2 linked regions of the Drosophila melanogaster genome follow. The protein of the gene in region 2 interacts with the protein of the main gene of each other region in a pairwise test. Each region holds a gene or a part of one and is shown on either strand. Other genes may lie near its edges.

The links.
Region 1: the proteins of Met75Ca (region 2) and Prosap interact in a two-hybrid assay, tested with the Drosophila melanogaster proteins (one large-scale study listed by BioGRID).

The regions. Positions count from the first base shown.
Region 1 is NT_033778.4:14,137,829-14,142,830, forward strand, and holds the start of Prosap (prosap), read right to left. Parts: upstream 3,075-5,002; 5' UTR 1,961-3,074; intron 1-1,960.
Region 2 is NT_037436.4:18,471,620-18,474,509, reverse strand, and holds Met75Ca (Met75Ca), read left to right. Parts: upstream 1-2,125; 5' UTR 2,126-2,145; coding exon 2,146-2,301; 3' UTR 2,302-2,367; downstream 2,368-2,890.

The sequences.
Region 1 (5,002 bases), on a different chromosome or scaffold from region 2:
AGAGATTACTTTGCAGCGAGGGAGCCAAAGAAATCGAACGAAGCATTTTTGCTCATTAAATAAATCAGAAATTGCCTGGGCCTTTTGGAGTTTGCCCATAAAAGTCGAATTTCTCGACTTGGAGCGTTTCGTATGAATCAAATGCTTGAAATTTATGCAAATTGGGCGAAATGTTGGTCAAAATGTTGAGCAAAAATGTCACTCTTTGCAGGCCACGAGGAGTTCAGATTTCTTTTGATTTATCACTGCAAATTGTCAAATCTTTTAATGAATATAACACAAAGTAAGGAAATTAAGTAAGATCACGCAAACAGTTAACAGTGAGAGCTGCAAGTATTCGGTTCGAGTAGGGAAGCATGAGATCACGTCTTAAATTCAACGTGACACTAAAACATTCAGAATATTTACATTTTGAAATTATTCTGACTGATAAATGAGCATGAGCAAATTTTGGAGCATTAATATTTATATTATTTTGGCATTAACTAGTAGTATAAATATTTCAATGTAAATTTATACGTTTTCCAAGAAAAAATTATATGGGAATGCTCTACAAATAAATTATATTAAATGCACTGTATATTCTTCTGATTTGTATATGATTTTTAAAGCTCTTCTGAAAACCTTTATATTTATGTTTATTTTCTGGGTAACGATTATATCTCAACACAACTGTAGGCGCAGCACAAGATATCTGATCTTTTGGAACAATTAAGCCGCATCCACATTAAGTAACCGAGACAAAAAGCAGCCGCTGACCCAACTCTTGGATCTCAGATAGTTCTCCCCTCGCTGATCTACGTGATATATGTAGGTACATATAAACATATATATAAACATATATGTACATATATCTTTGCCCCTTTCATGCCGCCTGCAAATCAACGAAAAAGTTTAAAACAAACCGTGTTACGTGCCACAAGCGAACAACTATCAGATAAAACATGATCATAACAGCACATATAAAATTTTAACTATTTTCATGGCGGGCCAGTCTGAAATTTTATTGTTACGCTTGTGTAACAACAACAACAATAGCTGCAGCAGCAACAAATACAACCAAAAAGCAATAGGCCACAACAAGAACCAGTCACGTTATGAACAAATGAGTAAAGTTGAACAAAAACAACCAAGATAACTGCAATTGGTGGGACAAAAAGGGGGAAGCAGCCAGCCCCTCCAAAACAAAAAAAAAGGGAAGCGTGCAATTTCCAAATCACTCGCACAGAAAACGAAATTTATGAATGCCTCTTCAAGAGCAGAACCCCTCGAGTGAAGGTCAATATAACGGTGGGCCCATAAAAAGGTGCGATTAAAGAAAGAGTCAGCCAAATGGTAAACGTGCTGCCAGTCCGAATTTATTTCGAATGAGTGTGTGCAACTCGAAGAAGGCGGTAACTGCCATAGAACAGAAGTAACAGTCATTTAAGTTGCAGAAAAGCTGCTTCATAATAACTGTCGTAGGTCTTAACGATTTTCTTGAAATCATCAGTTGCAGTGACAAATGCAATAATTCAATATAATAGTTACAGATAGTGATGTCACCTTTTTATTGTTACATTTATCTAAAGCACAAATACCTTTACATTTCTATACGATATTTTAATACATTTTTAACTTTTTTTCTTACAGTGGTTAAAATCCTTTTGAAATTAGATTTTCATTGAAGAGTTTCGTGCCTTATATAATGCAAGGGTAACGCACCTCAATAAATGACCGTTTTCACAACCTGCTGACCATGACCATGATAGTCTGAGGAGGGGGGTCCAATTAACGGTGATCAAGGGTAAGGGTTAACTGCTAGCCCGACTTTGGTGCTACCAATTTGCGAGGGTGTCCATGGGTGAAGGTCAAATGGGGGACTATTAAAAGGTGTTTGCTGCTCAACACCACTTTGGCACTCGAGGGTTTTTACTTTAATTTAGTTAATTTTCCGGCCAATCAATCGCTGTGTACTGACCTTTTTTCCGTTGGCTGCAGTTTTCCGAAATTCGTTTAGTTTCGGCGCAATTTGTTTACTTTTGCAGTTTATCGTTGTGTGTTGTTGTTTTCTCCGGGAGTTTTTCGTTCAGTTTTCTTTCTCTTTTTTTTGGGTTGGGTAATTTTGGGGCCGAAAAAGGACGAGTTCTATATCGGGATTGCTCTTCCTCGCTCTCCTTCTCACACTCTCTCTCTCTCTCTTCCTTTTCGCTCCTTGCGCGCGCGCTCTCGCAAATTGATTTTCACTTTTGGCGATTGTCAAAAAGACGGCAACAGAAAAATAATAATAAAACGAACGGCGCAGGAATTTTCACTTGTGCCACTTTTTGCGGCCTCCGTTTATTTCACAGATATTACTCTTTTTTGTACTTTTTCACCTTTTATATTTTGTGTGTTTGCAGGGAAACGGGTTTACGTGGATTTTTTTTTTTCGGTTTTGGGGAAACAAGAAATTCCTACTGCGTTTTTTCCTCTCTTTTTCGTTTTCCTTACGTACGCCTTTTTCCTACCGACTTGTGCGTTTTTCTCCTTTGCCGAGAGGCTCACACACACTGGCAGACTCCCACACACAGACGCGCACGCACACACACAAACACATACGCACCGGCCAAACAACAAAAATTCTTTCGCTGTCTTTGATTTTTGTTTCTTTTCGTTTTTGGCTTTGATTTCTGCTGCTGCAGAGGCGAACCGGTTTTTGTTTTTATTATTTGTATTTTTCTACTTGTTTTTGCACTTCACATCGATCGGTTTCTCGTATCGGTTGATTCGTTAGCTGCAGTTGGCAGTTTAAAATTCTAATAATCACGGCGATTATTTTCAATTTTTATTTGGTCGAATTCGGTGCACCGTTATTTTGCACGCAGCCACCGTCGACTGTCTCGCTCCTTCTCGCTCGCACTCCTCTTGAGCCTGGACGAAAAAATCGCGCACAAAATCGTTTTGTGAAAATTATTCGAAAATTCGTTAGTATCAATATTGGTTTTTTCCCCGGCGACTTTAACGGTTACCGATGTGCTTTAAGCATTATTTTTTTAACAGATCACGCGAACACACATGCTGCACGAATCGCGGTTGAAAAAGCAATAACAAAAATCGTTGGAGAGCGCACTAGAGATGGCAAATGTTCGATTACAGGCCGATAACGTTGGGCTTACAGCTCTAGTTGGAGAGAGCGAGTTCGAATTCGATAAAAGAGCGGCTTCTGTTAACCGGTTGTGCCGTGAGGTTTGAGGCAGCACTTAGTTCTGATTGGAGTTCTGTATGACGGATTGCGCCCTGGCTAGAAAAATGTTCTACGAATTTAAAAATTGCAAATGCAATCAATGTTTATTATTTTACTTTAGTTTTTTATTCTGCGCTATGCCTCTTGATATCAATAGCTGCATCAGTACTGAAATAAAACACGATATTTAAAACTTTAACATTTAATTAAAATGTTCATTGACATTCCAAATTAGACATTCTAATCAGAACATAGCGCAGACTCCAACACGAAATGCTAACATGTAGTTCGAAGTCGACCGTTAACCGCTCTTCGAAATTTATTGCGCCGGATGTTGGGGCTATTTGCTTCTCTTAACAGCAGGCTAACATTTTCGGCGAACATTCGAGTTTTTTGCTGGCTGCTTTCGTCATTAGTTGGAAAACATCAAAAGCGTAGGAAAATCAAACGCCTCCGCAGAACTCCTCCCCCTTCAATTTCCCCTCGAGCACCTTGACTATTTTCTTGCACAAGTTCTGGGTCACTTGGGTATTTTTCCAGCATTTCTTAAGGTTTTTTCGCCGATTTCTTTTGGCTCTTCTGGCGCTCGAATCGTTTTTCATTTTCCTGACCCAAAGTGGGTGGTTGGGAGGTAGTGTGGGGGGCCACGTGTGGCTAATCCATAGCCTCTGTTGCTGTTGTTGTTGTTGCTTCGGGGAGCGACAGCTTTTCTTTGCCGGTCCATTGTTCCCAATTTCCTCGTTTGCTGTTTTTGTTATCCAAGGCTTATTTCCAAAGGCGCCTTAAGTTGTGGTTTTGTTTTTATTGCAAAAAACCTGAAAGTCCAAGTGTTTTTTTGCCCACTTTTATTGGTCCACAACGATTTGAAACTTGCTAATTGGCTACTTAAAAAATGCAAGTTATGACCATTTTAAGATACATCAAATAAACTTGTACCTAAATGTACAATTTTTTTACATAAATCATAAGATAAATTCCTAAATTGTACCTAAATGTACAGTTTTTTTACATAAATCATTACATCAATTCGTTGTTTTCGAACCTAAACACATTGTTTCGTATTACATTTGTCTAAGTCTACAAATAAGATAATATCTCGACTTTACCCAAATTTTTTTGTAATATTTGAAATCCTTTCCAGAAATAATCTCACATATGAAGTTTATGTAATTTCACCCCGTTTTAAACTCAAAACCATCACTCATTTGGCTTTCCTCGATATACCCAATTGACTTGATTTATGCAAAACTCCTCCGCTTTGCGAAAAACGAACATTTTCAATCATAAACGTGAGCCAAAAATGATGACGACCCCAGAGGTCAGTTTTAGTGCCAGTTCTCCTATTATGAAGAGAAGCAGGAGGTTTCGCATGGAAAATTAGGCAGTCGAAAAATGCAATTTCACTGATGCTACCGAGTTTTTCCTGTAATATCAACGTGCTCTTGCATTACGCGATAAATTCCACTTTTTTACCAATTTTCTTGCATTTTTATACGGGTGATTTTACACGAAATTAAAATAAAATAAAGAATTGATTTAGGAAATCCTGTCAAATTCAATGAGTTCTTTATGGATCCACAATTTGTTAAAACCCGCCCAGTTTTCCATTTTCATTTTTAGGTGCGTGCCAGCTTTACAGTTTGAGAGCCACATGCTGACATAGTTATTAGATGTTTCCAGTCAGTTGGGATTTATGAGCCATCTATTCCGATGCAACGTGTGCTTCTGGTGCAACATGCAGTATGCACGACACGCCCCCCACACCTCTTCTCCCCGCCCACCGCTTTCATAACCCGC
Region 2 (2,890 bases):
TGAAAAAAATACCTTATTGCAAATATTTATTTTGCTGTAAAAAAAATTGGGCAATTGAGAAACTGATTTTGGGACAATAGAGATCAACATCCTATTTGGTTTCCAAGAAGAACAAAAATGAATAACTCAGGGTTTTGCAAAAATAAAATCACGTTTGGTTCGTGTCAAAAACAGCAAAAGAAGACGTATTCTAATTGGTTTGCATTTTTTTTTTAGTTATTTAGTTCACACAAAACAAATTGAATTTTCAGTAGACTTACATATAACTTATGCGTAAACTAAATTTGCTATAATCAATTTGATAAAGACTACTGACGAACTTAACCTTTATATGCAAAAGCTAGCAAAGGTTTTGGTTGCTTGAACCATTACACATTCGTAGATAACAATTGTATGCTCTTGTATTACTTAAATAAATGCATTCTTAATATTAAGTTAACTTCTTAAATTCATAGTATTTCATATTTATTCCACAGTGAGACCATGGAAATGGCGTGTAATCGCCAAGCGAAAAGCGAAACTGAGTACCAATGTCAAGACTAATGGCGTTTTATTTTTCGTTGGGCTACGAACTCAATTAGCTGCCGTGCGTAGCGTAATTAAGTTGATGCCACGCCCAATTCGATAACCTAAACCTATTCGGGCGTCCACTACCTGCCCACGCCATCCGCCCCCCAAATGATCCAGTTTTATGCCACCTGACGTCGCCTCGCGATGTGTATGCAAATACATTATGCGAACTGCTTTCGAGCTGGCTTAAATTAATTTATCACGTGCCAAAATAAAGCAACTACCGGTGGCTTCCCCCCTCTGCATTTTTCGTGTAATTAATTAAATTCGAGTCGGAGGAGCTCCTAAAAGTTCGCCACGAACAAAAATTGTTTGCTTCGCTAAAGTTTAAGTTGTGCTCTTAAAAATTAAGTTCTTCTTTTGCAATTCCGGGGCATAAAGCTATCCGCTTACACATAATGGCGCCCCACATTCGGGCGCCCCATGTGCCCTACTCAAGTCCAACTTTCTGGGTAATTATGTCTCCATGTAAGCTCCGGGCAGCAGTCGTCACTCAGCTGGGTTTTACCGATTTTCCGATTTTCCGATTTTCCTTTTCGGCTTTTGCTTTCTATCCGAAAAGAGGAATATTAAGTATTCATTGGGAAACGCAAGAGAAAATCGGTTGAAGTGGTTGCGGGAAGTTGCCGAAAGGCAGCGTTCGTCATTTCAAATTGAATTTTTAATTTTTAAATACTTACCAACTGGCGAAAAAGAGTTGCAACTATAATGCATGGCAAAACTGTGAAAAACGTCAATGGCACTTCCAATCTAAATAAGTAATTTTTTAAAGCTTAAGTAAGGGATTTATCAGTAGACCAAATTTTGTAAACTTTTGTTGGGTAAATTGATTCTTATAAAAAGGTATTATGGGAAAAACTGAGACTTAAGGAAATTAATTACAAAGCTCATTGATACAAATTTTCAACAGTTATTATTATTGAAACACATATTACAAGTTTTCTAAAGTCTCTTAAAAAGACTAAACACACTAAAACAAATTAGGCCAAGGCAAGGTAAATGGGATCTTAGTTAAATTAGTTATTAGCTAAACTAACTTTGCAAATCCCATTTGTAATGTAATGTAATCGATGCAAAGCTAAAATAACTATTTATTTACTGAACACAGCCCGTAAAAAGTGCGTATTGAATTTCCTTCGATGTGCGAAGTGCAAGTGATTAAACAAGTAAGTGCGGAGTATTACATGTGATGATGTGGTGCTTGACGGGAACTCAATTCTCTTGGCAAGTTCAAACAGAAATCTAATTTAAAGCGGCTAGAAAGACTGAAGAGATCTGAAGAGAGACGGGTGGGAAAATGGGTAATGTGTGTCTGTGGACTGCTCATTTCGCTTGTTTACGCATCCAACTTGCCATCAAGCATACGCCAAGTGAGCCATCGCAACAGAAAGGGTCATCGGAGAAATGTTAAACTAGAGCGAACAGCTTACGTAAGTGATGGGATTTAAATGCCGGAAAAACTTAAATGGCAAGCTTAACGCCGTATCACGTAGCATCCATATTAATTGCAACGTGTAGTCGGGTATAAATAGCTCACTACCTGCCACAGCCGATCATTCAGCACTACTCGACAAGATGAACGTATTCAATGGTTTCTTGCTAGTCTTCCTGGGCCTGGCCCTCAGCTCTGTGGATGCACAGATAGCAACACGCCAGGAAACCTCGGAGGACAAGGCTTGTGGTCCCCACGCCTACTACAATTACGCCCGGCACACTTGCCTGCCATTCTAGGAACCTTTCCAAAGTGTCCTATGCCTAAAGAAATAAAACGTTAAGGTACTAAATGTACCAGAAATTAATACGCGATGTTTAAGTTAAACGGGAAAAGAGGGTGCAGCATAAAAAGAGTGGACATTACATTAATGGTAATTCTATCCTTTTGGGAGATGCTTAAGAAGAAGATCATTTACAATACTTCTTACTGTTCAGAACCATCGATTTAGGTTAAGAAAATAACTAGATTTCTTATTATGAATGAATTGGTAAGCTCAATGGGCCATTATTTGAACGACCTTCAGCAGCTACCTCATCCACACCATGACTCCGAGGAAATGTTGGCAATACGTGGAAGAGCTTTCTTGAATGCACAACTTTATGCCCCTTTCACTGCTTCGCTAATTAATTCACCCCTAAGAAGAACGGTTTCCCAGTCCCAGGAAGCTGCATCATAAACCAACTTGTAATGGCGACTGCAGTCAGGCCAACGACTCTTATAAATGATTCTTAGAAAAAGGTATTATTGGAAAAACTGAGGCTAAAGGAAATTATTTACAAAGCTCATTGATACAACTTTTCAACAGTTATTATTATTGAGACACAT